Linked DNA regions of Diceros bicornis minor. The protein of the gene in region 1 interacts with the protein of each later gene in a pairwise test. Links are inferred from orthologs where the notes say so. Each region holds a gene or a part of one and is shown on either strand. Other genes may lie near its edges.

Region 1 (15,855 bases):
CTGCCTATTTGATATTTAGTAACACACAGTACTGCTGGAATATGGACAAATTCCATTTTAGATTTCTGTTTGCTCCATTGGCCTCTTTGCATTCCTTTTCTTAAGTTATTGAGGAAGATATTTATACATCTTTAAATATACTATATTTTACTCCGGTGATATTTTGCTTATAGATACAATAGCAGATGCATTCTAGGAATCTCAAGTTAGTCCCTTCCTTCCTTCCTTGTTTCTTCCTTCTTTCTTTCTTTCTTTTTAACAAGATAAGGTAATTGAAGAGAGTTATTCTGATTAAAGGTTTACTATATAGTGATCTTTGCACTGTGAAAGCTTTAAAAGTGTTAAAGGGCAATATCTTGAAATTGTAAGTAAAATGTTAGTGGCAGTATATTCCCTTTCGACGTGTGGTCATTGTAAAAACAACATAAAACTAGTTGGATGGAAATGTTTTAAAATAATCACACATCCCATCATACTGAGAGAACAACTCTGTGTCTATTTATTGCTAGTATAAGTTCATGCTTTTATAAACTCGTAATCGCTGTGTATATGTCTGGGTGTGTGGTATTTAATTAAGGGAAATACCATAATTTACCTATTTAACCATTTCCCTATTAGACATCTAGGTTGGCTCTAAATTTTTGTTATTGTAGAAAATGTTGTAATAAGCTTTTTCAAGTATATGACTTTTATTCATACAGAATTATTTCCTTATGATAAAATAATGTTAGAGGGAATACTAAGTTAAAAAAACAATATGGGCATTATAGTTCTTTAATGCTGTATTACTTTCCAAAAGGGTGTGTGTGTATGTATGTGCATAAAATATAGTTATATATAATATAGCAATATATATTTTAGGATATTATCTGTAAATGAGTATACTGAAGATAGGCTTTTTTTAACTTATCTAACCAAAAGTACACATCAGAATTAACTTTTACCAATCTTTGTTTTTCTTTCTTTCTTTCTTTCTTTTTTTTTACTATAATCAATAATAGACTTGGATTTAATGTACAGGGTTCAATTTAAAAGAAGAGTTTCCAATCAAGGCCATAATGAGATACTGGTTATTGTGAAATGGCTAAATGCCAACTAGTTTTCTGGTCTTACCAATCCAGCTTTATCGCCTTCTAAAAATGTGTACCTTGAATTTACTAACTTGCCTAGAGTGACAACCCACTAAATGTACTTGTCATATTTTTCTTAGCCATGGACTAACTGAATTAAGCCTCCAACCATTACAAAATACCGACAAGAAGGAAAATGGTTGGCTTGTAGCAGGTAAAGATGAGAGCTGCTTCATTTATTTTACCAATTTGTCTCTACTACCCTCTAGTGGAATCATCGTCACAATATCCTTACAGCGCTGCCTCCAGATTAAAAATACACACACAAGCATACAGGATTTCTAAATTTCAGCTTTGTCGAGTTAGTCTCCGTCTGAGATATTATGAACTCCTGGAGGGAATTACCTTTTAACTGGCATTCTGGCTTCTCTCTCTTCCCACACTAATCCTTTCTGTAAAGCACTGCCAGATTAATCTGTTTAAAGGGAAAATGTGATCCTGTCACTCCCATGCTCAATCAAACGAGAAAACCTTCCGTTGCTGCCCTTGGACTATTTGAAGTGCTGCTGGTAAACTTCCCACAGTGACTTCCAAACCTCTTCACAATTGGAATCCAACTCCACTTTCCACTCTCCTCTCATTTACTCCCTACACCCACTCTCCCCTCCAGCCAAATCCCACTGCTGGATGTTCTCCAAACCTATACCATATATTTCCTTTTCTGCCTAGAATGCCATGCCCCCCCCCCCAGTCATCTCTACTCCACCGACTTCCTTCTTCCATTTCTATTTGCCAAAGTTGTGCTCGTATTTCAAGAATTATTTCAAATGTATCCTATGTTCAGCTTTACCAAGCTCCCTTGGTCAATCCCTCACAAGCTAGGGACCTCTCTAACACTGTGCTGTCTGTTGCATATGTCTGTTCTCTTTGCCTGGACGTTCTACCCAGCTCCTGTCCTTCAATTCCCATTGACAACATCAGCTTTCCTTCCCAACCCAAGGATCACATCATTAATGAAGCCTTATCCACCTCCTCTAGTTTTTTTCCCCTCTTTTGTGACCCCATAGCAATTTATTCAAGTCTCTGTCCCAGTACTCACCACCAGAGGTATTTTTGTGAGAGACAGATAGTGATCAATACAATTGGGGAAAAGAAATCCTATATGTGAAGTTCTTACAGTGGGCTGGGCACTGATCTAAGTGAGCGTTACATGGATTACCTCATCTTATGCTCAAAATGACACAACTGGGTACTATTATTATCGTCATTTGAGTAAACGAAGCACAGAGAAATGATGTGACTTGCCCAAAGCCATTGATAATTTAAAGGCAGCAGCCAGGATTCAAAAGGATTTGAGGCCAGGTGATCTCTGGACCCGGATCGTTTAACTACTGTGATGGTAATTCATTCCAAAAGGGCTCTTTGTCAGGACAGCACCACTTGAATGTCTTTCCTCCTCATCTCATTTTGAGTCTGTGGTTTGAGCCTGTGGTTTGGGATTTCATTTTTGGAAAGAATCAAGTATGGTTCCTGTAGTAGGAAGTTTTTGTCATATTGAATAAAAAGGTTTACTTTCCTCTTTGAAATCTTTTTCTTCTTACATATTTCCCCATCTGGACTCTGAAGCTTTGGAGAGCAGGCCTACATTCGATTCTTGTTTGTATGCCCATTAGTTAAGCTAGTGCTTGGGACATAATAAGGGCTTCATAAAGTTATCAAGTGTTGAAACAGCAGATATCTTTCCCTTTTTGTCTTATGTGGATGTGGCATCACTTTACTTTGTATTCCCATAGTGCTTGGTTCAAAACACCAGCTGATGGAAGGTATTTAATTAATTAGCATAAAAGAAGTATAATCATTTGGTGTATATTTCTTATCTGTGCCCCTCCTCTTAAGCTTAAGGGGGACAGATAGTCTAATTCATATTTGTATCTTGAGTAGCCCCCAAGTAATGCCAGGCAAACCAAAGATGCTCAAATATTTGGTGAGTGGAACTGACAGAGTGTCATTTTCTGTCGTACTTCAGTATCATATCACCAGCATAAAATGATGCACAGCTAAGAGCCAGATAACTGATGTTCACAAGGAGGCCCTCGGGCGCTACCAGACTCTGAAGTGCCTGTCTCATTTTTGAGGAAACAGTAAATAATGTTCTGTATCATTTTAGCAGTGAGAGGATATTATTGTAGCTTAGCTCTTTGGAATCTGTCAATTACAGTAAACATTTAAAATGAAGCAGAATATTTCATAATGTGAAACCCCAGGCCTGCATCATTCCAGAGGACAGTTTAAGTCGAATTAGAACTTCATCTATTTCACACCATTAGAAAATGAACTTTTGGGGCCAGCCCGGTGGCGCAAGCGGTTGAGTGTGCGCGCTCCGCTGTGGTGGCCCGGGGTTCTCAGGTTTGGATCTCGGGCGCGCACTCGACGCACCACTTGGTGGGTCATGCTGTGGTGGCGTCCCATATAAAGTAGAGGAAGATGGGCATGGATGTTGGCCCAGGGCCAGTCTTCCTCAGCAAAAAACAGGAGGATTGGCAGATGTTAGCTCAGGGCTGATCTTCCTCACCAAAAAAAAAAAAAAAGAAAGAAAATGAACTTTTATGCTAATTCCTGAACTTATTGATTAGGGATGTATTCATAATTCATTGCCCTCCTTCATTGGGCTGACTTCACAAAGATAAAGATTTAAAGAATTACTTCTCACTATAAATTTTTAGTTCTGGTAGAATGGCCTAACTTAGGCATAAGCAATATTGTGATAAAATTTAAGAGGCGTTAGGAATCCATAAAAAAATACCAAAAATATCTCAGAGATCCAACTAAAACAACAGCCCTGATCATTTCTCCTGGCTCCAAATACGTGTAAACTGGTCTGCAGTTTCAAGTTAAATGCACCATGAATCTAATGAAGCTTAAGTGTCTGGGTTCTGCCTTTGCACAGGCCCCTTCCAGTGCTCTGAGAGGGGAGTTCACATGGTCATGTTGTCATAAAATGTATAAAATAAGATATTTTAACCACAATTTTTTTTTTAAAGATTTTATTTATTTATTTTTTCCCCCCAAAGCCCCAGTAGATAGTTGTGTGTCATAGCTGCACATCCTTCTAGTTGCTGTATGTGGGACGCAGCCTCAGCATAGCCAGAGAAGCAGCGCGTCGGTGCGAGCCCGGGATCCGAACCCGGGTCGCCAGCAGTGGAGCGCGCTCACTTAACCACTAAGCCATGGGGCCGGCCCTTAACCACAATTTGTTGATGCTGCTGTTTCTTTCCACTTCAGCTCCCCCTCAGCCACATTTCCCCACCTGCCCAGTGGCATTGGCGGGACCATGACCATTGCTGGGATTCAGCTCAGGATAAGTTAAGTGAGGATACATTTAGTTCAAGATTAGTGGTATCTAGTTATTTATCCACAGCACTCCCAAGTTATTGCCAGCAGTCCTAAATAGGAATAGCTTCTGAGAATACTCCCTCTATCCATTCTGCTGACTCTCCTGGCATCTGGAAATAAAGGCACAGGGTCAGAGATCTTATCTGAACTGGAACTAAGTGGGTAGTGGGTAATAGAGGAGAAGCTAATCTGTGGAAAACTCTTCCAATTATCAGATGTGTAAAATTACATCATTACCTCATCTCAACTGAACTTCTCTTGTGTCAGGAATACACTTGTTAAGACAGCATGAACAATTATAAATGCATCAGACAATTTTTGGAATGTGGAATATTTAGAATCATGCAAATTTAAAATTTTAATAATTCCTGTGTTTGTAGGGCATAAACTTAGAGCAGTAGTATAAACAGCTCAGATGGGAAAGAAACTTGATGTTTTCTCGAATTTGACAGAAATTCTGTTATATATGATATAATCAATAAGGAGATAAAAAGCCACAAAAACGTTTTTGAAATGACTAGTCATAAAAAACCAATTCAGATCAAATTAAAGGAAGTTAAAGGAAAGACTGAATTATCTTTTTTCTCTCATAGATAATATTACAAAATTATGTCATATAAAGAGATAAAGAGCTCATCGGCTTGGTGGACAAATATAGATTCCAAAAATTGTAGCCCACAAAAAATGTAGGACAAAAGGCATTATAAGGACGTGTCAGGCAATTAGTAAAATATAATTTTTTAAGGATTTTGTGATTTTATGGTATTTTTCAACTTTTAAAATTTTGTAATCTTATAATTTCTTATTCTCAGTATATATTCCCCATCACACTTAATTTTGCATTCTTTTCCTTAGAAAGGGCCCCCAAATGACGTACACTTAAGGCCTCATGGAACTTGCATCTGCCTTTGGCGGTCTGTGGCCACACGGATGTCCCCATGGTACCTCACAATGAAATATCCAGAGTGGCACTTCATCCTCACAACTGCCCCTCAGCCTCTCTCCAGAATGGTACTGGCATCGGCCCTTTGTTAAGCCCACACCCAAGTCATGCCTGATGACTCTTTCCCCCACCCACCCAATCCACCACCCAAGTCTTGTGGTCCTAGCTCCTCAAAATATCTCATCATCATTTTCTCCTCTCCAAACTGACCACCAGCTCCCCTAGGTCAGCACCTGTTGGGATTGTGACAGAGTCCTCCTGGCTCTGGTGCTACCTCACTGTCCCTCCTCACATCTCCTCGTAGTGACTGTTCCCTCCTAACTCCCACATCTACATCACTCCCCTACTCACATCTTTTTTCAATTCCATCCTGCAGTCCAAATCCGTTAGCATGACCCTGAAAGGCCCTTTGACATATGGATATTGCCTAACTCCCTAGCACTGTTTCTCTGACCCCTTTTCCAGCCCCCAAACTCCATTTATGTTCCAGCAATACTGAATTAATTTCAGTCCATCAAGCATGCTTATTATTTCTTCACAATGGACCAAAAAGCTCTCCCCGCTCATGTGTCTGCTTGGCAAACTTCATTCCTCAAGACTCAGTTCAGATGCCCCCACTGCTGTGAAACCTGGCCAGAGCCCTCTCCCCTTTACCACACTCATGCTGCTCCTAGTAACTCTCTGCTCTGTGCAGAGCAGCCTTTACTTATTGCACTTGAAGCACTGGCTCTCCACCTAGATGGGAAGACTCACATCTGTTCACCTGGTGTCTTTGATCCTCATTGGTCCCTGGGTGGATGAATGAATCTCTTCTCCCTATCCCATCCTCAGTTCCTGAAATTCCAATAAGAGATTGAGGTGGGTGGACACATGTGCATTTAAAGTATAGATACCAAAATGTTAACAGCAATCTCTCTTTCAGTGCATTCCTCATGCAATTTCCCCTGCTTGGAAGGCCCACCCCACAATTCTTTCTCCACTCTTTGTTCAAATGTCGCTTCCTCTGTTTGAATTACTAATTTCCTCCTCTAGTTCTCATATCACCTCACAGCATAAGCTACAACATAAGTGCCAGAAGAGAATTCCAAGTAATCCTTGTGTCCTCTCACCTCCAACACCTAGACCAGGAATTGTGTCTGACTCAGTTTTGTGTCTATAAAGCACAGTGTTACATGTTACACGTTAGAGACACTGAATGCAAGTTGGCCCAAAGTGTAATAAACTGTATCTGCCAATATCATAGCCTGAATAACCACTGAAACTTTAAAAAGAAAGATAATTGAGCTAAATTGAAAAATCTGGCATCACAGCTGTGGAAGCTTATGGTCTTCTTTATGTTGAATGTAAAATGGATATAATGAATTACTAGGTGTTTTTGGATGACATAAATTGAATTTCTTGCTTAGGTCTCCCAGAGAGAAAGATATACATTGTTGACGATGTCTTTGAGATTTTTACTACCTCCTTCTTAAGGTAACTGAAATGTTCTCCTTCAGCCCAGCTCGAAAACCATCCATTTAGAAAAAGACAAATATACACTAGCTTTAAATATTAGACGTGAAAGTAATGGAATTTTGCTATAAGTGTAGTATCACTTTGTGATGAGCTATTTGAGTACAATAAATTTTAATTGTGCCAATATTGGGAAGGGAAAAAAACGAACCTAGCAGATTCTTGATGACTAGAAACAGTAGGACGACGCTCCCCTGGGATCAAAGACAGCGCTTGCGCTCAGACTCAGTTGGCGCCCGCCCTCCTGCTTTTTCTGCAGCCGCCGTTTCCTCGTTCTTTCGCGCTCTAGTCTCCCGGGAAGCCCGGCCCAAGCGTAGCTGGGCTCTGATTGGCTCCTTTGAAAGTCTACGCGCTCCCTGACTGGTGGATTCGGGCCCCTTTAGCGCGGTGAGTTTGAAACTGCTGGCGCTTCGCTTCAAAGCTGGCTCTTGGAAGTTCTGGGGAGAGCGACGCCGACGTGGTAGCCGCCGCGGGATAGTGAGCCGGTAGACTTGCTGGGGTCAGGGTCATGCCTTGGGCCGTCGACTCGGCAGGGCCGGCTCGGGGGCCTCGGAGGGGGATATTGAGGAACCGGGTGCTATTTAGCAGGCTGGGCTGGGCTGGGCAGCAGGGGTCTGCGTGGGGCCAGGCCGGGCTGGGCCTTCATCTGGGGCCCAGGGTCTGGGCGTCTGAGGGACGCCGGGGCCTGGCTTTAGAGAAAGGCTTGGGGGAGCCCAGACCTGGCGGGGTTACTCCGGGAAGGGCTGGGGCTGCCCTGGCCTCGGAGTTGCAGTCTGGGGTCGCGGTCGGTTCTCAGGAAGAGGCCGCCGACCTGGCAGAGGAGGCTTTCGGGTCACAGGTGAAGCCAAATCCGTGCAGTGGTTCTAGGACGCTGAGCGCCTGCGCGGTGCCAGGCTCCGTCCTAGGCCCTGCGGCTCCCGGCCGCCCCTTGTGCGCTCTGCCCTCGTCCCCGGGGGTGGAAAGCAAGACCACACCTGGGCCAGGTACCCACTCCAGTCCCTAAACCCAGGCCATCCCGGAAAACCGATCCGATGAACTAACTTGTGGGCTTCTGCGGGCTTGCCTCTGTGCCCCTGGCCCTTGCCCACTCAGGGCCTTTAAGAACGCTTAGCCAAGGCATAGAGCCAGGGGGAACTTGGATTTTTCCCCTTTTTGTTTTAGGCTTGGTGGTTTGGCAAAAGGTGAAAAGCTAAGACATGCCGAGTGATAGATGCATATGTGTGTGTGTTAATATCCTTCAATCAATGTTTATTTAATACTGAAATTACTAACGTATACGTCTTGCTTCCTCTAAAGACCTGGAGGTCTCTGTGGGTAGGAGATTAAGCCACGGGTATTTTACATCCTGAGGCCAGTAGTACAGAGCCCTAGAAGTCATTCTAAAGCTGCATCCTTGGTTTAAAATTGTTAGGACAGAAAAACGGAGGGTGAGTAATTGAACCCAGCTTTGAAATTGACTTAGCTTTTAGCTATTTGTTCCAAGTGAGCTCTACAATTTTATTGTGCTTTCCACAAATTAAATCTGCATATTGAAGAAAGATAATTATCCTAATCGTCATTGCCATTTTGTAAAATTTAAAAATTTTAAGATTGGCACTCATGGCCAGTCTAGTGCAATTTTGTTCATTTAAAAAGATTTATCTCTACTTATTTCTGGGATGATTTTGAAGATGAATGTGAGAGATAGACCTTAAGGGTCGGTTACTCAGAGTGACCTTGATCACTGATGTTATCAGTGATGAGTGAGTCAGAAAATCAAGGTAATTATGCTCTGGGCCTCTGAAGTTAATGTTTCAATGGCCAACTTATCAGCTGAGGAAGTCTTGAGTGTCTGGTTGTCAGCATTTCAGCTCTTTTTTACCATTCTTTGTGATTCAAGTATATAGTTTTTTACTTTGTTCTTGACATTGTGTAGGGTGTAATTAGAATTGTATCTGTGGAATTGCACCTTTTCTTTTAGGGTGCTTAGTGATAAGTCCTACTCTTGTAAAAAGTACCTTGAAAGTCTTGATCATATTAGTGTATGTGACTTCTAAAAACAGGAGAAAGACTAAAACTGTCACTTGAACAAGTTTAAACACTTATATGCTTTTGCTGCCTTAAACACTCTTTCTAATGGATGAGCAGTGTGACCACATTTTAGCTCATGTCTTTAAAAATTGTTTCTTTTGTATTATCTTCGTAAAAATATAAAGCAGTGCAAACTCAGTCAAATAACATATTTTTTGAAATATTTGGGTATAACTGGCACTGGTGCTCCTCAGAAGTGTTACATAAAGAGAACATACTTCTGGTTTCTGTTTGGGAAGAATATGTAAGTTGATGTCTGAATTTGAGGGTTAATTTGATTGGAAGAAGCTAAATATTTATGTTGCTAAATATACAAATATTTCCAATGTTTTAAGAGCTAAGAAAGGTGGGAAAGTCTTACTGTAGGAGTCCTTTCCCTTGTAAATATTGTTTTAATATAATAACTAATATTACAGAAAATTAATACTGCACTAGGCATTGTGGAAAATGCTTTACAAATAGTATCTCATTAATAACTTAAAACCACCCTTTGAGTAAGTGGCATGTAATCAAATCAGTTTTTCCTCTCATTTTAGGATCTATCATACCTATTGATTAACTATGGAAGACTATATCAAAATAGAGAAAATTGGAGAAGGTGAGTGATTTTAATAATATAAAAGTTTTAAAAAATGATTTAATGATGCTATAATGTCTGTGACATGAAGACGTAAATATTTATTAAAGTCCAAACTTTAAGGTATTTTACAGTTCTAATGTGCTTTAATATATATGTTCTTACATAATAACTTAAACATAAAAATGTTTACATTTCAAGAGAATTGAAATTATTCTGATACGACTCCCTGACAGCCTCCTCCTCTATCCTCCCTTAATCTTACATTCTTCTAATACTAAATACTTAAAGCGATGTTTGTATTTTGAAAACACTATTGATATCTTGTATGGGTGTTGTAGGAGAGAGGTTAGGTTTCATAATGTACTTTTAGTCTCCTACAATTATTTTAAGATAATAAATACTTTTACCTAAACTTTCTAAATTGGTTGCAATAATTCACTATTAAACTAATTTAAATAAATTTTCTATTTAGTTACCCTAGGTTTAAATGATCTGTCATGTGTACATGTTTAAGCTATTCTAAAACAGTAACTTGTATATAATCACTCATTCCCTTTCTGTTGTACTTGCATTAAAGTTTTTAAAGAATGTTATATGGCATAACGAGGGGTAAAAATATCCTGGCATAACGAGGGGTAAAAATATCCCGTTGCCTGTTTTTTTGTCTTTCCCTTCAGAATATCTAAGTTTCTGTATAGGAGTCTTGATATTAACATTCTAAACTGTCCAGGAACAAATGATACAACTTATACAAAATAATTTGCTATTAGAGGCCAATTCATGTAGGTTCTATTTGAGGAACATTTCCAACTATATTTTAGTGTACTCCAAAACCCTACTTATACAAGAAATACTGCAAAAAAGCTAGGGGAGGAATTCTGGAAGGAATTTAGTAAGGTAGTAATGACAAGTTTGGGTGGTGGTTTGCTTGGAGATAAATTCTTTTTTTAAAACTTAGAAATACACGATTTTTATTTTTTGTGAGGAAGACTCACTCTGAACTAACATTCATTGCCAATCCTCCTCTTTTTGCTGAGGAAGATTAGCCCTGAGCTAACATCTGTGCCCATCTTCCTCTATTTTGTATGTGGGACACTGCCACAGCATGGCTTGATGAGCAGTGCATAGGTCTGCGCCCGGGATCCGAACCTGTGAACCCCAGGCCACTTGAAGGGGAGCAGGCGAACTTAACCAGTACGCCACTGGGACAGCCCCCTATGATTTCGTTTTTTGAAAAATTAATTTACTTTATTATATCCACTCAACTAAGCTAATTTTGCTACTAATTTAAAAATAAGTTTGCTACTAATTTAAAGATAACTTAAAAATAAGTAATTAGACATTAGATACATCTAATGTCTTTCTGCTTTGTAGTTTTTCTTAAATCCTCAGAGAATTTCATGTATTGATTTTAGTTTGGAACAAAAAGAAGCATTCTTAAAGTGTAAATGTATTTTTCTTTAAAACGCTGGAACTCCAAACTGTATACAGGAGACTACAGATTTGACTCTTGAGAAAAGTACTTGAATCGCTACTACAGATTTGTTGGTGCTGTCAAGTCGATTCCGACTCCTAGTGACCCTGTGTATAGCAGAGTGAAACCCTGCTTGGTCTTTCTGGCCATCCTCTCACCTTCCGGCTCTATGTCAGATAATGCTCTGCTGCTATTTATGGGGGTCTTCCTGATCAATTTTTTCAGAAGGGCGGCCAGGCCCTTCTTCCTGGTCTGTCTTAGTCTGGAAGCTTTGCTGAAACCTGTCCACCATGGGTAACCCTGCTGGTATGTGAAATACTGGTGGCATAGCTTTTAGCATCACAGCAAGGCGCAGCCACTGCAGTAGGACAATCAACGGACAGGTGGTTTGGTGCCCAGACCTCGAAATGAACCCGGGCTGTGACAGTGAGAGTGTGGAATGTTAACCACTAGACCACCAGGGCTGATTGCTACTACAAATAGAAGCAGTTAAAAATATAATTTCAAATGTAGTATATTACATACATATAGTGGAGTCACAAGATCCCATTTCTACCAATGGGACAACCATAAACCTTTTAACTTCTCTGGATCTCAGTTTCTCTTTCTGCAAACGGGGATAATTGTCCCTACCAAAAAAGATTATGATTATACAAGGAGATAATGTATGGAAAGGATTTGTTTGAGTGCTTTAACTCAGAAAACCATCAAATGTTAACTATTTGTTATTATTACTATGACCACTGTTTCCACGACCATCAATGTCGTAGCCCCCTTGCCAGCCTCTTCCAATTCCACTCAACTTGCTAATTTGGATTTCTTGGACATCCTCACATATGCCCTGTTCTTTGACCTCTGGGTCTTTGGCAATGCCTGTTCTTTCACCCCGGAAGCACCCTCTACTGGCTTCACCTCTCATCTCCTTGCTCTAGCCCAAGTGCATTTTGTAGTTCCCTTTTCATTATCCTTAATATGCTTTTTCTTTGTTACGCTGTAAGCTCCAGGAGAGTTGAGATTTTTCTTGTTCACAACTGTTTGACCAGTGCCTGGCAATAGTGTCCAGCAATAGGAGATACTCAAATTTTTAATAACAACTTTATCTGTTTTTTTTGTGTGTGTTTTTCTGAAATCTGTCTCTTCTTTTTCTGGCTTATATTGTCTTGACTACTCCAGTGCCTGGCTGTTTTGGATTATGTGCTGGACATTGTTTTTGAAAAAAATAACTTGTAGAAATAATTTAAGGCATAGATAATATCTTCCACACAGTATTTTCTTTAGCTCCTGCCACGTACCTGGTCAAATTCAAACATTCAAATGATGATTTTAAAAGTTATAGTTATTCCCTCAGCTTTTCATTTTGAACATTTCCAAACCTACACAGTTGAAAGATTTATACAATGAACCTGTAATACCTTTTGCCAAGATGTTAGTGTTTTGTCACATTTACTTTATTGTATATGTGTGTTTTAGCATTTTGTTTTTCTTTTGACCCATTTAAAGTAAGCTGTAGAGATGTGCTTTGTTTTTAAATACTTCTGCATGTATCTTCTGAGGATCTAGCCAAGGTCATGCATTTCATTTGATGGTTAATGTCTCCTTAATCGCTTCTAGTTTAGATTAGTCTCCCTAACTTTTTCCCCCTCGATATTGAGTTTTTTGACAACCCAATTCATTTCTTAAATACATCCAGACTTTTCTTATTTCAATTATTACAAAATGGTTCTCTGCTTTCTTCTGAATTACAAAAATCTCAGTGTTGTCACATTAGTCTTTGAATTCCTTAAGAAAATATCTTTTTGGATCATAGAGAGTAGGTATATCCATGATGTGGAACCTTACTTGGCATTTAGTAGGCATTCTATAAACATTTGTTGATTAAAGGTTTTCTGCTTACCATTAGTCTGTATAACCTGACCATATCTAACATTTTTTATTTTATAATGTTGAGTTCATTTCAGAGCACATACCATATATCTCATAAATAATTTTTTTTTAACAGTTATTTATTTATTTATTTATTTTTGTGTGTGAGAAAGATCAGCCCTGAGCTAACATCCATGCTAATCCTCCTCTTTTTGCTGAGGAAGACCAGCTCTGAGCTAACATCTACTGCCAATCCTCCGCCTTTTTTTTTTCCCCAAAGCCCCAGTAGATAGTCGTATGTCATAGTTGCACATCCTTCTAGTTGCTGTATGTGGGATGCGGCCTCAGCGTGGCCAGAAAAGCGGTGCGTCAGTGCGCGCCCAGGATCTGAACCCGTGCTGCCAGTAGCGGAGCGCGCGCACTTAACCACTAAGCCACGGGGCTGGCCCTCATAAATAATTTTTGATGATTAACCAGTAGAATCATTTTGCCCTGTTTAGGTAGAGTTCTGTTCCAGTAGTTCAATGAGAAATGATAATGGTTCAAAAAGAGTCAGAAAGAAGAGACCCATAGAGCACTTGTGATGTCTAAAATTCAATTCAATAAATATTAAATGTTGGCTAAGTGCTAATTAGTTGTTATGAGTAAATTTTAGGACCCGATGAGGTTGTACACTTGGAGAGGTAAGATACTAGAAAAAAAATTAGTTCTGAATTGCTTATTTGACTATATCATGCAAATAACTAATCTTCCTGAGTCTGCTTTAATTGTGTGCCAGATGAGTGTGCTACTGACTTACCCACTTTTGTGTTTAATGCAAGTATAATTTACATCTGAAAAATGAACAGATTTTTTTTTTCCCTTTTTTTTTTTTTTTTAATTGATGTTTTAATGGTTTCTAACATTGTGAAATTTTGGGTTGTACATTTTTGTTTGTCCATCACCCCATATATGACTCCCTTAACCCCTTTTGCCCACCCCCCACCCCCACTGCCCGGGTAAACACAGTCCAGTTTTCTCTGTCCATGTGTTGGTTTATATTCCACATATGAGTGAGATCATACAGTGTTTGTCTTTCTCTTTCTGGCTTATTTCACTTAACATAATATGCTCCAGGCCCATCCATGTTGTTGCAAATGGGACGATTTTGTCTTTTTTTATGGCTGAGTAGTATTTCATTGTATATATATACCACATTTTCTTAATCCAATCGTCAGTCGAGGGACACTTAGGTTGCTTCCACTTCTTGGCTATGGTGAATAATGCTGCAAAGAACATAGGGGTGCATAAGCCTCTTTGGATTGTTGATTTCAGGTGCGTTGGATAGATTCCCAGTAGTGGGATGGCTGGATCATAGGGCATCTCTATTTTTAATTCTTTGAGGAATCTCCATACCGTTTTTCATAGAGGCTGCACCAATTTGCATTCCCACCAGCTGTGTATGAGGGTTCCTGTTTCTCCACATCCTCTCCAACATTTGTTGTTTTTTGTCTTGGTGATTATAGCCATTCTAACGGGCGTGAGTTGGTATCTTAGTGTTGTTTTGATTTGCAAAATGAACAGATTTTATGTGTACAGAAGGTTACCTACTTTTAAGGATGGTTGTGAAAATTAAATAAAATCAGTTCTCCTTTAATCTGGAGTAATTTTGATTATCCAAAAGTCACAGCTAATCCAAATTTAATCAAAATAGTATAGAATTGATTTTATGTCAAATTATGTCTTAAAAATGACACCAGTATCTAGGAAGACAGACTATTGTATAGAATTTCTCTATTTAAAAAAAATTAGAACAAAGTTTATATAACATCAGTTTGCCGCTGACCAAACCATCTTTAATATTCTAATAAAGTCAGTAAATAATTTGTTAGTGGTTCTTAGCCTTTTTTGAAATATTGCTACCTTTGGAGAAACTGATAAAAGCTATAGAATAGATCTTGTCTCTAGAAAAATGCACTCTAATCACTTTTGAAGTTACACTGATGTCATACAAAAATAATAAAAGCTATTCAGTAAAATTTTATGTACAGGTAAGGGGTTCAAGACCTCCACAAATTGTCCAATCCCAGTTTAAGGAGCACTTATCTAGGGGATTATGGGTATCACGAATATGAACTTGTTTTAGCTAACTAGTCCATCTCCCTTATTATTGTCATTTCCAGTCCCTGTATCCACACACCCCTACCCCCCCGATCCCCTCTGTTGACGCTGTTGCTTCTTATCTGAAGCCTGTATGTCAGAATCAGTCTGAATGGGTGTGAGGCTTTCCTACTCTATAGTAGATAATGTGAACTTTAATAGATTTAATAAATATTTAATAAAATATTTTATCTCCATTCTTTTCTGGATGAGGATTGTTGACTATATATCTGAAATGCCATAAAGCACTCTTATACAGAGTTTTCTGAAAGTGTCACAGTGACTCCTGTTAAGTATTATTTCCTGAGCCCAAATCTTAACACTGTATTTTATGCCTGCCTTATTGTTGGGTGGGATAGTTGAGAGGAGATAAATTCCAATTCACAAAGGGTCCATTTTCTTCTCTAAAAAATGTGCTGGGAAATTACTGGTAATTTAAATGTATGGGAAGCCTGTGATGCCTACATGAATTTTATTTCTAAACTACAGGTGTGATAGGTTGTAGTTACCCTCAATTTCTTTGTGGAAGTGATGAGGCTGTAGTAAATATGAGTAAGATACTTCCTATCTGGGCACAGCAGACATTTGTATTACGTGACACCTTATGGGATTCAATCATTTTTTAAAATCTTAGTTCGTGGAGGGTGTCACATAGCAGGCATTTACTTTGTCTATTTCAGGTACCTATGGAGTTGTGTATAAGGGTAGACACAAAACTACAGGTCAAGTGGTAGCCATGAAGAAAATCAGACTAGAAAGTGAAGAGGAAGGGGTTCCTAGTACTGCAATTCGGGAAATTTCTTTACTAAAA
Region 2 (15,867 bases), on another chromosome or scaffold:
GTTCCCAATATAGTTCTATTGGATAGTGCTGCTCTAGATATACTATTATATTTTTGTACTTGTAAAAGGATTTAATCTGTAGTTAACATATTTAACCATTTTTAAGAGAGTAGGTAATTTTCTATTTGCCTCTTGTACACACTGGATAATTTCTGTTACACAGTAGTCCTAGAAAGGACTCTGGGGAGGAAGCACAGGCACTGCTGCAGGGAGATTCACGGTCTCTGCCATCAAACATTGTCATCTGTTTTGTATATTGGATTCCATTTAAGATTTCAATGGAAGAAAAAAAGGTTTGGTAAAAAATTGGAAACCCCTTTTATGAAGATACTAAGTGAATAGGGCTTTCCAAAATACACAAGATTGGTTTTTGAACCAATGCTTTAAATTACATTTTGCTTATGACTTAAATGTTACCCAAATGGAAATTTCCTACCATGGTGGGTATCTCTAAAGCAGAAAATCTGTACAAATACTGCAAGGGTCAACTAATCGATTGGCTCTTTTTTTTTTTTTTTTTTGTGAGGAAGATCAGCCCTGAGCTAACATCCATGCTAATCCTCCTCTTTTTGCTGAGGAAGACCGGCTCTGAGCTAACATCTATTACCAATCCTCCTCCTTTTTTTTTCCCCCAAAGCCCCAGTAGATAGTTGTATGTCATAGCTGCACATCCTTATAATTGCTGTATGTGGAACGTAGCCTCAGCATGGCTGGAGAAGCAGTACATCGGTGCGCACCTGGGATCCGAACCCGGGCCGCCAGCAGCGGAGTGCGTGCACTTAATGGCTAAGCCACGGGGCCAGCCTCTGATTGGCCTCTTTAAGTCTTCTTTGGTAGGTAAAAAATAAATTAAAGAAAGTATATTAGCAAATTGATATTCCAGAACAACCAGGAAAAAACTTTAAGATGTACAAAATCTATACTGGTCAGAATCAAGCAATATGTACATTTTCCTTTGGTGTGTTATAAGGACATTGATAGGACTATTAGGCTTGAGATAACCAGGCCAACCAGAATAAAACATTTTGAAAATCCAAATTTGTTGGCATCATGCAATATGTAAATTACAAATTGAGGTAGATTATCAGGGTATTTGTAGGATTATTAGACTTGAGGCTATAGTGGTATGAACATCTTAGAGCATGTGAAGATTATACTCTATTCCCTCTCTTCCACCTAGATGCTGGCTCTCTAAATTTTCTATCCAGGATGGACAATTTCACTCTACCTCTGGGTTTCCAGCTCAGGCTGAATCTTTACTATCACAGGCAAGTCTATAAAGAACAGTTATGTTCAAAGATCTGGGCAGGGCAGTGTCAGTTTTCTATTTACATACTTTTCTCCCTCCAACTTACACATTCTAACCTTGAATGCAGTTTCTATGTATAAAAGAACTACAACAATCAGTGAAAAGCAGTGCTATGTTTCGTAAATGATGAGTTCTCTGAGCCCTTCACAAATACTTCTTCACATATTAGAATAAGTCCATAGTTTGAAACTTTATGAAATATTGAACATTTATTTGGAAAATTGAGAAGAGACTACAGTTTGTTTTTTCTGACAAAGAGATTTTAAGTATTATTTTTAACAAAACCTATTAATAAGGTTGTCTCATTTTACACCTACCTGTATCTTTTTGGATATTTCTTCTAACATCTTTAAATTTACAACCTATAGGTAGTAATGAGGCAAGGGAAAAAGTCAGTTTTTGGTCATGTATAACAAGCATATTTAAACATATATATAGTGTACTGTAGAAAGTCACTCCACATGATCATTTATATGCTTCAATTCCATTTTGAATGTGAATTTCAACTTCTTATATTCTTAAGAAAATATTCTAGGGATCCTAGCAGAAGAAACTCCTAATCTGAGGATTCTTTCTTCTGTTTCCTTTCTGTAACTGGTACCTGGCTGTCGTCCTCAGCCTCACATCGTGCCCCAGTGTTCACGGTTTCTTAAGAGAGGTCACTCAGAAGTGTAGAACTGTGCGTGTGGGTGTGGAGGGGTGGAAGAGTGGATCTATGCTCCTTTATTGAGAGCCCTCAAGGAGGGCTTCCAAAAGTGAGTTCCCCAGTGCTGATGGTCTATGAAATTCTCTTACTGCTCAGTACAGAGAATGATGTTGTTAGCTGACAAAAAAATTATTTCAGATATATCCACAGGAAGCCAACTGTAGTGTCACCTACCTGGCAGAGCACATAAACCAAGAAACTGAGGACAATTCACTCGCGACAGAGGGAGCCTGAAAAGAGGATCACTGTATCAAGTTTGGTCCAGTTTTAAAAGAGTTGTAAATGGAAATTCAGTTTAACCAAATGTGCACTTGGCACTGAACAAGGGTGTTTTAAAGTTTTAAGTAGTAATAAAACAAAAATTCATAGTTAAATAGCAATGTGTTGGTCACAAAAAGGCCTAGAAAAACTGGAAGTTTTAAAACAGGGACTTACGGGCATTGTTACAATTTACGTCTAAAAAATGGCAAATTAATTTATTCTTACCTTAAAGATGATAATGCCTAGATTGCCTGCAGCTAGTATAAATTGTACTTAAGGCACTCTGTGGTATGTTACCTGAGATATTTGTGTTAGTAATCTTACGTAAATAAGCTGGAAAAGGGCCAACTGGCAATCTCATCCCCAGCACTCATTCTACATTACTATTTTAAGATTTCTTTGTAGGACTTCCTTAAATAAATAAAATTTCATATAATAAAAACCACAGGCCACCCATTCTTTGTTGTAATGGATTTTGGTTAAAAAGAAATAATTTCAAGAAATCCTATTGGCAGTTTACAGTACTCAGGGACCAAGGGGCAGAGGCTCACTTTGTCTGCAAGACAGAGGTGACTGCGGAGGAAACCGGGCATCACATACATACCACCTGACTGAAAATTAGAAGTTTTTTTGAGTTTAAAAGGGGAGTTAGAAGGGGAAATGAAAGATAATTGCTATTTGATGGCAGAACAAAAGAACTTTCTGGACAAGAACACTTACGCTCCTTTTTCTCTTCCACAGTAGGGCACGGTGCTTTCTTAAGGAGAGAGATTATTACATTTACAGGGGTGAGAGAAAGCATTTGACTGCTGGTTGTAGAAAATCTGGTGTAACCATAAGTCATTCCCAAGATTTGGAAGTTGATTTTATATAGAAACTTTTGTTTTTGTCATTGTATCTATAGTAACGTGGCTTTTATCTTAAACAGGGTCTGCCGATAGATGCAAGACAGACGCAAGTAGTTCTAGGATTTGACTTGATAAATGATTAAATATCTTATCCTGTGTTTGGTACACTATTCTTTTGTTGGAAAAGAATAAGTAGATTTTGGTACTAAATGGGAGATCATTCCAATCCTATCTCAACTCCTTACTTACTTGTTTCTACTATGGTTTTCTCAATTGAGTTAAAAGATCACTTAAAGATTAGAATTATATAATCAGCAGAAGAGAATCAGTAAATATTTTCAATATGTGGACTACATTCTACAAAGATTACGATGTACACATTAAGTATTTTAGCTCATCATTGATTAGAAATGTTAACATACCATGATATCTGAATTGGAGTCTGTTCATCTTCAATAGGCTCTTCGTCTGATGAATCAAACTCGCTTCTTTGCATTGAAGTAGGCTTCAAAAGAAATCAGTTATGTTAAATAACTGTAAAGAAGAATATTTACTTATACTCTTAGTATACCTGATCCTTGCTTAAACACACAATGCATGGTTGCAATTTATTCAGTTACCAACCTGGAATATCAGAGAGCAGCAACATCAATGATAAGTGACTGCTGTTTACCATCCTATTGATAATTACAGCACTAGGGAGCGGCAAGTGCGTGGGATTGGGAGCCAAGGAATCTGGCTTCTGGTCTTGGCTCTGCCACTCACTGTATAATCTTGGACAAGTTACTTCAGTTTTTTCTAGATCTCAGTTTTCCACAACTATAAAGTGAGGAGATTTATTCATTCATTACAAACATTTCTTGGACACCTTCATTTGCCAAGCTCTGGAGAGGCAAGGATCCATAACATAACTAGCCTGCCTTCAGTGAGAGACAGCTGTGTGCATGGACGACAGAAGAGAGTTGTAAGCGCTAAAATGGAAGCATAAACTGTGCACTTGAGACCAGAGAAGGGAGTGACTGCTTAGAGAGCTGGAGAAAGCGTCCCGGAGGAGATGCAGTAGCTGTATTTTGGAGGATGATCAGGAGGTTTTTAGGCAGATAGGGGGAAGTTAAGGCAATTAAGGCACAAGGAGAAAGGCTTGTGTATTCAGGACTGGGATATCAGAACAGAGGAGAGGAAGCTAGAGAAGCAGTTTTACCTACCCTATTTCTCAACAAACAACCCCAGACAGCCTCGTAGTTTGGTTGGCAGGGTGCAGGGGGTGGTGGAATATAGGTGAATAACCTGCCTCCAGCTCTGTGAATCATCGAATAGGGAGATGGGGATGGAATACGCATGCTCATCTAAGCAGGGGGAACTCGATCCTGCATGTAGGCAGCATTTCTACGTGGAAGACTGTTGGACCAATAAAAATAGGACAAGTGAAAAACACATCTTTCTTCTACTCCTTAGTTGGAACCAACTGAGAGAGAAGATAGTGGAGAGGCAAATGGAGATCAATATGTTAGTTTTATTACTGAGGGTCAAATGGAGGATGTGGCTGTAAAGCTGTGGTCAAGTGGGCTTGTCAATTCTTCAATCCAGGATTGGATTTATCCACCCAGTCTTAGGCTGGACTAGTGATGGACAACCCAAGTCTCCATTGTGGCGGAGTGCACCCCAGAAAGTACTCTCTGCAGAGAAGGGAAGAAAGGGTTGAGCTACTTGTGTGATCAGATCACTCACTCTTCCCCTTCTGGGGACAGGTGGAGAAGCAGGCCAAGAGTGAAGGACAGGGGATGTCCCTCCACATGGGAACATGGGGATTAGCAAGTGTGACCACCTAATGTCCTTTCTAGCTCTGGAGCTCTATTCTATGACGGTCTTGTTTGTTATGGCAAGATCACATTACAGAGCCGATTTAGGCTATGGATTTGATTGCTTCGCATCTATCTGTATTATTATTATCAACTCAACTCAAATGAAGGCCTTTCAATAGGTTGTCAGCACCGGTGGTAGGTGATGCGAGTCAGGGGCTTCAGCTCCTTGCCTCTGTTTTTTTCTTTCTTTCTCTTTAAAGCAGTTTTTAAAGATTTTCAGTTTGTGTGGCCCATTCCCTCAGGCTCCCCCAGCCAGGTGTGCAAGTTCTAACAGGCTGCATGTTTCCGCTCCCTCAGGCCCGGGGATTCTGAACCCCAGGGAATGGGACGCAATGCCAGGTGGCCCTGGGAGATGGTGACAGTGGTGTCACACCCACGGGGGGGGGCTGGCAATCGTCTTTGGTGACGTTTTCCCATCGGCGGTGAGGACTGCTCCCAGGGAGGCGCAGGGAGCCCGGACATCCTCTAAGGCCGGGGTATCAGGCAGACACCTAAGCTCTCTCTGCCTCAGTTTCCTCCGTAGGACGGGCCTCAGCCCTCTCTGGCAGGGCTGTCGTGAGGCGCAGGAGACCCCGCAGGCGACAGCTTCAGCCCACGACAGGCGCACAGCGAGCGTCCGTCTCCCCGCGCCCGCCACTGACCTGCCCTCCGCAGCCGTCGCCCTCGCCGGTCCCAGGAAGCGCCACCTCCCGACCCAGGACGGTTACTTGCGAGTCATGCCCGACCAGGCCTGCGCTGTCCCCGGGCCCAAGAACTGGCCTCGGCACCGCTCCCGCCCCTGCGGCTCCGCCCCTCCAAGCCTCGGCCGACTCACCGGCTTCATCACTGTCCGCCCTGCGTCCTGACCGGCCACCGCCTACCCCGGCAGCACCGGTGTCTCGGCCTCCACCCGCGCCGAGCCCGCCCCTCGGCTCAGCTCATTGGCTCATCCTTCTGTGCGGTGGGCCCGGCGTCTCCTAGGAGCCAATCAGACCCTCTCCCTGGTTTTACCCCGCCCCCCCGGGCCTCGCCTCGGCCTCTAACCGCTCATTGGTTGCTAGGAGGCCTTTGAAAGACGCGCGGAGGAGGGCCTGTTGAACGTTGATTGGCTGGGAGGGCGCCCTCCTCCCGCCCGTTGCGAGCGGGGAGCGGGGAGGGCGGAAGCGCTTTCGGGGATGCTGGAGAGTCCCGCTTTGTCATGGCGGGAGTTCAAAGTGGTACCACAGAAGGGAAATTTGTTTGTTTTCTGAAATTTTTTTATATTTTAAGGCATGGGGGGAGCACTGTCTTGGAGCGTCTTGTGAAAACACACCACGTCTCATAGAGTTTATAATTATGGTCATATCTAGTCGTACAAATATTATGGAAACGACTAAAAATCCAGATTATAAACATACCTTGTATCTTTGATATTTTATGTTTTTTACCATTCCAGGACCTAGACAGGTTAGGGTGTAGATCAACATTCCTATTCACTAAATATGAGTGAAACAGAAGCATACGAAGGGAAGATAAAAAATCTCCAGATGGTTCTAAGTGCCAGTGTTTCTACATAATTGGCTATAATCTTTAAAAAATGTGTTTGATTATTTTCTCCCCCATTCTCCAGTCCCCATTAGGCTGGCCATGGGGAAGGAAGTCACCTGAAGCAACATTACCTGCAAATCTGACAAAAGTATGCAGAAGTTTCAGCTCTCTGTCTCAGGTTGTGAAAACCAGTGGGTACAGAGCTATTAGGAAGAATTCCTTAGTAAAGAAGATAGCACAGTTTGACTTAGAGACTGTGTTAATCAGGTTCTCCAGAGAGACAAAGAATATGATATATACATGAAGAGATTTATTTAAAGGAATTGGCTTCCATAATTGTGGAGGCTTAGTGAGTCCAAAATCTGATGGTAGGAGGGCCTGAGGGGCTGGAGACTCCGGGAAGAGTTGCAGTTGGAGTTCAAAGGCAGTCTGCTGTAGACCCAGGATGAGCCGATGCTGCACATGAAGTCTGGAGGCCATCTGCTGCAAAATGCACTCTTGCCTTTTTGTTCTATTCAGGCCCTCAGCTGATTGGATGAGGCCCAGCCACGTTATAGAGGGGAGTCTGTTTTACTCAAAGTCCACCAGTTTAAATGTTACTCTCTTTGAGAAGCGCCCTCACAGAAACATCCAGAATAGCATTTGACTAAATATCTGGGTCCCATAGCCCAGCCAGGTTGACATATAAAATTAGCCATCACAGACACACTAGACTTGATTCATCCATTCATTCAGTAAATATATGTCGAGTACCATCTGTGTCCTAGGTACTATTCAAGGTGCTGGGAATACTGGCATGAACTAAACAAAGTCTCTGCCTTCATGGGGCTCACATGCTGCTGGGGGAGACAGTCAGGTAGTGATATATGCTGTGAAGAAAAATTGAAACAAGTGGAGCCTGATGATGGTGCCGTTCTAGATAGAAAAGTTAAGGAACGCTTCTTTGAAGCGATGTCATTTGAGAAACATCCAAATGAAGAGAGAGAGTGAACCATTTGAATATTTATGGCAAGAGTTTTCAGTCTGTCTGAAGAGTAAAGAGGTGCAAAGGCCCCGAGGTGGGAATATGCTGGTGTGTTCAAGGAACAGCAAGGAGGCTAGTGTGGGTGAGGCTGATGGAGTGAGGCAGAGAGTGGTAGGAGATGAAGCAGAGGCTTAAGAGCTTCTTTTCTGAAGGATTCAAGAGAGGGTCCAAAGAAAGCTTGGGGCCTGGGCTCTAGGTGGGCTAATTCCTGTCTCTGTATGGCGCAGGGGAACAAGTCCTTTCCAGGTGGGCTTCAGGATGTTTGATGCTCCATCACTCCCTAACTCTCGCCTTCTCTCCACTGCCCCCAGTGTTGTCCCCACACAGCTGTTTAATCTGCATCATCGGGTGTCCCTTCCATTTCCTCAGAACAGACCTTCCTCCCGGGAACTAATGCAATGCCAGCCCCCTCGTGTGTCATCCAGATTCTGCCCCCTCTGGACTCCACTAGCTGTGCACACGGTCTCCACCTGTTCTGGCTCCTGCTGATTCTGCAGAGAGGAGAGGCCGGCTCCAGTACTGTGGTAGGAAGGAGGTGACAGGCTGGGGGGAACTGGGAGTGTTTCAACTTCTGTTTGTTCTCTCCACCAGCAGGGCTGTGTGCAGGCTTTACTCTTTCACTCCCCAAAGACAAACGCATCTCACCTCTGTGATGTAGGGTTTTTGGGTCCAGTCCGGGGGTTGGCAAACTATGGCCCACGGGCGAAATCCCACAGGCTTGTTTCTGTAAAGTTTTGTTGGAACACAGCTGCACTCGTTTGTGTCAGTGTTGCTGAAGGTGGCGTTTGCTCTACTCTTTGTGTAGTAGAGTGGAGTAGTTGCTACAGCGGCTGTATGGCTGCACAGCCTAAAAATTTACCCTCTGGCCCTTTACAGAAAAAGTGTGCCCACCCCTGGTATATAGTCTATGAGAGAAACATATATTTCTTTTAATAACATGATTTTAAGTCTACTTCTTGAGGTGAGAGACCTGGCCTTATCATGCTAAAACATTCTCCTTTGCTTGGCTCGGTCCCTTCATTATGGAGGGTCCCACATAGACTGACAAGGCCTCTGGCTGAGCCGTCTGGTTAAATGGCATCATAGTAACCTGGTTTCTCTCTAATAATCCCCAAGAGGCTCGCCTGAGCGGAGGAGTCGGGGCTTATGTTCAGCTTGCCATACCTGTCGTCTTCAGTTAATTTTTTGGTGTGTGACTCATGGCTGTTAACAGAAATGTATATGGTCAAAACAATGTGGACGATTTATCCAAACTACCAGAGGGAGAAGTGTTAACACATGTTCCCAGACAGATGAGAATTTTGAGAGATGCTCAAAGAGAAATGAAACACAACTGCCATCAGTAGTTGCACTTGGATGTATGTTTTACAACTAGATCCATATTTTAAAAATATTTTAATATTAATACTAATGGATTTGACGTGTGTGTTGGAAGAGAACACTGGAATCATAGAGTTGAATGCAACTTGGAGAGGATGTACTTCCTGGTTCGTGAAGGCGAGTTTGAGAATTTCTCTTGTCGTCTTGATGATGATCAGATACAGTATGTGACACCTGCAGTAGGCATGTGTGGTTTCCCATGGCTTCTCCCTTTGGTGGGTTACCCCTTTCCTTTCATGGGATCTTGCTGGGCACGTAACTGGGCCTGCCCCATAAATGTACCTGTTCCTCTGGTCACAGTTCCAGGTCAGGGAAGGAATGGGGCCTAACCTGGAATGTCTTCCTTGTCCCGTTTGCTTTGCTTGCTGATGCTCTTAATTTCTTCTCTACCTTCCTAAGTTTTCTGTTTTACCCCAGAATGAGGCTGAGTTCTAATTTGCAGTGGATAATTGGAGTATATTGTAAAATTTATTAAACATTTAAAATTTAAAGTGCTATTGTATTTATAATTGGAAGGGACATAACAATGTCGCTCACGCCACGTGCTCTTTTGCAGTGTGACTTTGCCACGCCAGGTGGAGTACACTCCTCTTAAGTACGGTCTGGCCTTAGTGACCAGTTTAACTAGCAGAATGTAGCAGAAGTGACAAACGATAAGCTCAATAAAATTTCATACCCATGTAACCAGCACCCAGATCAAGAAATGGAACATTACCAGCCCCCAGAAGCCTCCTTTGTGTCTCTGTCCACTAGCCCCCACCCTCCAACGTTACATCTGTTTGATTTCTGACCCTATTGCCTAATTTTGCTTGCTTGTGAATTGTATATAAATGGAATCTTTTGTGTCTGGCTTCTTTTGCTCAACTTTATGTTTGTGAGATTCATTCATGTTGTTGTTTGTGGTTGTACTTGTTCATTCTCATGGCAGTGTTCTGTTGTGTGAATCTACTATAATTTATTTATCCAGTCTACTGTTGATAGACATTGGTTAGTTTCCAGTGCGGGGCTGTTTTGAATAGTGCTGCTATAAACATTCTTGTCCATGTCTTTTGGTAAATATACATGTATATTGCTACTGGGTCTATACTAGGATTGGAAGTACGTGTGTTCATCCTTAGTTGATACTGGCAGTTTTCCAAAGAAGTTATACTAATTCACACTCACTGGCACTGTTTTGGAATTCTAGATCAACATCTTCGCCAGCATTTGGTATTGTCTGTCTTTTTCATTTTAGCCATTCCGTGAGTGAGTCACTTTATTTCAAAGCTGTATCTAATTTCAAATTTTTGAAAGACTAACACTAATCAGTTGGATATCAGAGAGAATCAGTAGATGCCATTCTTTTTTTTTTTTTATTTGTGAGGAAGATCAGCCCTGAGCTAACATTCACACCAATCCTCCTCTTTTTGCCGAGGAAGACTGGCCCTGGGCTAACATCTGTGCCCATCTTCCTCCACTTTATATGGGACGCCGCCACAGCATGGCCTGACAAGTGGTGCGTCGGTGCACGCCTGGGATCCGAACCGGGCCACCAGCGGTGCAGCGCACGCACTTAACTGCTCCGTCACAGGGCCGGCCCCGATGTCATTCTTTAAGAGGTAGCAGAAGTTCATAATGTTAGGAATTTTTGGAAAATGTTTCTATCTTATGTATTAATTACCATGTATAAATATTTTTCTGCATTATTTTATATATATATGTATCATTGCAATGTGTATCTTTTGGGGGTACATGCCTATTTTAGACCATAAAACTACTGATATGAAGTGAGTGGCCCCCAATTAGGAAGGTCCCCCAATGTAGACAACATCAGTGAGCACCTCACACTGTGATGGAAGAACTGTTATTTAAGTTCCCCAGGCACCACCAGCTTGGGCTAAAATTAAAGTCACAGGGGCCGGCCTTGTGGCTTAGTGGTTAAGTGCGTGCACTTTGCTACTGGCGGCACGGGTTCGGATCCCTGGCGCGCACCCATGCACCGCTTCTCCAGCCATGCTGAGGCCTCATCCCACATACAGCAACTAGAAGGATGTGCAGCTATGACATACAGCTATCTACTGGGGCTTTGGGGAAAAAAAAAGGAGGAGGATTGGCAATAGATGTTAGCTCAGGGCTGGTCTTCCTCAGCAAAAAAAAGAGGAGGATTGGCATGGATGTTAGCTCAGGGCTGATCTTCCTCACAAAAAAAGAAAAACAAGTCACATTAACTATCCTTTATGGAATAATATTTCTCTGGTTCTTTCTCTATGCACTATGTGAAACTGCATCCCCTCTCTATTGTGCAAATTGCTCAGTGAGTCCTCACGGATGACCTCCCGTATGCTCTGAGATACAAAAGCAAGACAGCTGCTGTCTTGGCGCTCCTGCTCTCCTGGCTGGGGTAATGTCTCAGGTCACTGCCAAAGCCTGGAGCAGCAGCCATGCTGATGTCCCTGAAGGTGCTGTGACTGTGGGGGTACTCTGACGACCCACCCAAACAAAGTGCCACACTTCTCTGTCGCTGCTGACATTGCTGGCACAGGATTTTGCTAACCCTCTCATCCTCAATGTCCCATGGAAAATTTAATTAAACAGCTCTTTTTTTATTGGCTTTTTAAAGTCCTGGGACCCAGGACGTTGGGTGTGGCCAACAGTGGGCAGTACAGAGAATCATCCCTCCTTTCTGGGTCTGTCTTGATGACATTGAACCCAATTTGTGTACTTTGACTTCTTTTACCTTAGGGTGAGTTACTTCCCACGAGTCCTCTGGCCTCTCCTGTCCAGAGTCCTGGCAAGATTAACTCACCCACCCTCTGCCAGCTGTGCCCAGGCTGCGTGAGTCCCACGTGCTTGGGCTCAAGCTAGGGTGACCTTGCTTGCAGGTGGGCCTGGGTCCGTGCTGGTCTATCACTGTTGTGCTGGCACAAGCATTAGCAGCTCTCCCTTTTACTTTCAAAAGTGTCCACGTTTGAGTGGTAAATTATATGGTCACCCTTTCTCAAGCAATCTTTAGGAAAGTTTTCCAGACGTAAAACAGAATCAAAACCACATTTTAGAACAGTCAAGAAATAAAACATGTAGGAAAGAATTTTGGACTCAGAAGGCTGGTGTTGGCGTTGCAGTGACCTATCTAGTTTGCTGCCCCTGCTTTTCCTCTCAGCCCCGTGGCTGGCAGCCACTTGGCCCCACCTGCAGGCTCATCTCTGCTCTGTTCCCAGCCAGTTTCTTCCTTTCACAGGGAGATGGAAAGAGCTGGAGTAGGGCGCTCTGCAACTCAGTTGGAGGTTAATACTTGCGGTGGTGAGCCCACCCGGTATACCCTGTGCCCAGTTTTCCTAATCTGGCTTCTCTACTGTTCCTGAGACAGTTTCTATTTTGTTCATATCTTAGTTCTGAATGGGGCCCTAATGATCTCTTGCCAATTTCCCCATCCCTGGCCTGCCCTGGACTCTGGCTCCTGACCCTCAGTCACACAGGTTCTGCTGTCCACTGCCAGCTTTCTCCATGTGGCCTGTCCTACCCTGTCGCCTGCCCTGCCCCTCCATCAGTGCACTCTGCTCTCTGGAAGCTGTTTTGTAACCTCCTGTTGCACTTGCCTGCTGGGTTCCCACCAGGAAGGCAGTATGCTCTAGCAGAAAGAGCAAGGCCTTTGAAGTTAAATCCCAGTTCTGCAATTAGCCAAGGGGTCTTGGAGTAATCACCTAACCACGTAACCTGAATTGCAAGCCCCTCATCTGCTGCGTGTAGAATGAAATTGCTACTTGGAAATGAATGAAATGACAGAATTCTGAGCTCAGAGAATTCCCTGGTGAGTTTGTTTGGTATGAAAGAATTATCTGGGGCTGGATCCATTTTTGGGAAATTCAGATTTCTGAACTTGAGGAATCAAGGCTCTACATAAAAGAAGCTGGGAAAGAGAGCCTGAACAGCTGGCAGAATTTTCTATCTTCAGGTTAGGAGGAAGTCTGGTCAGTTTCTGAAGCTGGGCTCCTCACCTGTCCCAGCTGCTGCGAGCCCGGAGGGGCTGGGTTTAGGCAGCTTCTGAGAGGCCCTTTTCCCCATCTCATCGCAACTTGGTTTTGGGGAAACCAATTTGAGAAATCTGCCAGGAATGGAGAAGAGGGTGATCCTCTTAAATCTGTAGTTCAGTAATACCCAGTTCATTGTCGGTATAATCTAAAATAAAGAGAAAGGGCATTATTTTTATCACTTCATACTGAAGTGAATTCAGAATGAGTTGGAAACATGTATGTTATAAACATCCATATTAATAACCTAACATATAAAACAGAAATTGGCAAGACTAACCAGATCATAGTTGTGTTCTTCCCGGAATGGGAGATGGCAGTAAACATCTTCCTCCTGTGCAGAAATCCCCACTGTGGGACTCAGATCTGATTAAAAGAGCCAGGCTTACAGTTAATACGGTATATTACATACATTTTTCAGCATTCAGTAGTGACTGGTGTCTCCGTGGATTTGGCCAGTTCCTGGCAATTATGCATTTGGCTGCTAATATAAACCAGCCTGCCCAGTGCCTGGAAGGACAATCCGTGTCTGAGTGGGTTTTAGTCTGGGAAGGATGTTGTTCAAATACCACATCCCTTCCCAAGGTGTTCAAATCCTGGTTACAGTTCTGTCCTTTAAATCTATTTTATCCTGAAACTTGACCAGAAAGGATATGGCCACATCCCTTTGCCCCTTTCAGCTTCCGCAGCAAACACCTGGGGGGCTTGCGAGAGTTTTACAGCAGCCATCTGCCTCTTAGTCCAGAAGGAGTTTTGTGCCTAATCAGAAAATCATGTTCTGAACCTAACGTGTTGGATGGATTGTTAGAAAACACTAATTCTTTCAGAGACTCTTAAATCTGGAGGCCGGGCCAAATTCCAAAGTGAGTGAAGGCATTCTTTTTCTCAGATGTCCTCCAGCGTCATCTGAGGGCGTGTTAACCAGCCTGCCCTCAGCTGTAGTGGCTTCACACCCGCTCTTCGGGCTTTGGCCCTTCATTAGGAAGAGAGGCTGTTGCTGGTGTATTTTGTATAGCAGTGGAAGCTGGTGAAAAAAAGCAAACACTTTTTAGAAATTTGAGCAAGGACTATCTTGGCAAATATGGAGAGAACTAGAACGTGTGTTCTGTGAGGCAGAAATGTTTGTCTGTTTTGTTAATTACTATTAACAGTGTCTAGCTCATAATAGTCACTCAGTAAATATTTGTTGAATAAATAATTAAGTGAATGAATAATTATAAGCCCACCCTCTTCTTAATTGCACAGTAAATATCATCTTGTCCATTTCTTATTCTCTTTTATTTTTCTCATTTTGTTTTTATTCAACATAGACAGAAGGTAGTTACAAGCTTTTCTCTGTTAAATGGTGCAAATGGAAGGTAAATACGGTTGCCTTGCCGGGGCGTTGTGTGTACTTGTCAGTCTCTTCTCTTGCCCTTCTCTCTCTTCCTCCACTCCCCTCCCCGCTCTCCTCAACAAGGAGCCCCTCCCCTGGCTCAGCCTGTGGCCTGGCCTTCCTCACAGAGGAAAATCTGTCTGCACCTATCGCATTATTTGGCCACGACAATGCTCACCCCTTTTCCTCTAGTTCCACTGAGGGGTCCCTTCTATACGAGACAGACCCCTTCCCTTCTGTGGAATCTGCAGCATCCGTTATTTCTCTTTCTGTGTCTTCTCGCTACTGGCTTCTTCAGAGTCCAAAGAAGAACTCAAGTCTCTCCAATATTACAACACACACACCAAAACAATACTCCCCACCCCCAAAACTAGCCCCATATCACTTTCACTCTCACAGTCTAGTTTTTCAGTAGAAAGGTCTGCATTCAGAGATTCTTTCTCACTTCTTTTTCATCCTATTTTCCTTTGCAAAATTAAACAAGAAAAAAATATTTTTTCAGAAGGAAAATATGAAATCAGAAAATATGTCTCTCCTTTAAGAATAGAACCAGACTTTTTTCTTCCTTGGTGGCTAGATTTCTAAGAATAAGAGCATAAATCCCAATGCAACAAATTGCATCTTGTTATCACAGAACTTTCTGTTGGTGAAATCTCTTGACAATAAAAGAGAAAAAATACAAGAACAATTTTTATTATAAAACTTGTTTATAATCCAAGACGAAATACACATTTGGACTCCTTACACTGGAGTTTGTTTTAAGGTTGATGGACTGAGGAGGTGAAAATAAATGATGGTTCTTAAATTGAACCAGTTGATGTAAATGAACCAGCAGGATGTTAGCTAATCTTCTTTTTTAAGGTGCTTTGTTGAAAAAGGCATAGAAAGGCTGTATAAACTCCTCCTGGTTAAAGGGATCGATTCTAAAGGCTCTCTTCCTCCTGTGGTAGAGTCCTTTATGAAGTACTTTCCTATATTTTTTTCCTGAATCCTAAATACAACAGAGTGTCTTTTGTTTGACTATTATCTTCCGCATCAACCACACTCAGAATTCTAGCCTGTGCCTCTGGCATTCTTCTGATATGCTCTGTGAAGGACATCTTCTGATGACATCCTCCTGGCACATGCAGTGGACATCTCACGTGACCTCTCGGTGGTCTTTAATTCTGATGGCTGATCGCTTCTTAAAATTTCGTCTTCCCCCAGTTCTTGAGGAGTGGGCTCTCCTTGCTCCTCTTCCTCTCACTGTCCTCAGGGCCCTTTCCTTGGCTCTCTTTTAATGTCCCATACTCTCAAATGGCTGTCTTATTGATCCTGTGGCTTCAACTGCCAGTAAACCAGTGAATTCCTAATCTCCAGCTGTCGCCCTCACCTCCCTTCTGAGTTCCAGACCCATGTGCGCACTTCCTCCCACCTTGATGGCCCTCAGGCAGTAGAGCTCAACATGCACAAGGCTGAGTTAGGATCTCTTCCTCAAACTTGCTTTTCCTCCACGTCACTGTAGCCCCACACCTGAGGGTCATCTTAGCTCTTCCCTCCACCCCCTCTACTCTTCATATTTAATTGGTGACCTTTTCAACTCCTTAATA

The links.
Region 2: the proteins of CDK1 (region 1) and CDKN3 interact in a two-hybrid assay, tested with the Homo sapiens proteins (2 studies listed by BioGRID and IntAct). The link is inferred for Diceros bicornis minor from reciprocal best matches to the Homo sapiens genes CDK1 and CDKN3.

What each region holds. Positions count from the first base shown.
Region 1 is NC_080745.1:44,103,110-44,118,964, reverse strand, and holds the start of CDK1 (cyclin-dependent kinase 1), read left to right. Parts: upstream 1-7,315; 5' UTR 7,316-7,403; exon of another isoform or gene 7,404-7,417; intron 7,418-9,524; 5' UTR 9,525-9,549; coding exon 9,550-9,586; intron 9,587-15,724; coding exon 15,725-15,855. UniProt on the Homo sapiens protein: Plays a key role in the control of the eukaryotic cell cycle by modulating the centrosome cycle as well as mitotic onset; promotes G2-M transition via association with multiple interphase cyclins.
Region 2 is NC_080763.1:4,564,243-4,580,109, reverse strand, and holds the start of CDKN3 (cyclin-dependent kinase inhibitor 3), read right to left. Parts: upstream 5,879-15,867; 5' UTR 5,810-5,878; coding exon 5,801-5,809; intron 5,743-5,800; exon of another isoform or gene 5,628-5,742; intron 3,630-5,627; coding exon 3,547-3,629; intron 2,246-3,546; coding exon 2,190-2,245; intron 1,672-2,189; coding exon 1,627-1,671; intron 1-1,626. UniProt on the Homo sapiens protein: May play a role in cell cycle regulation. Dual specificity CC phosphatase active toward substrates containing either phosphotyrosine or phosphoserine residues. Dephosphorylates CDK2 at 'Thr-160' in a cyclin-dependent manner.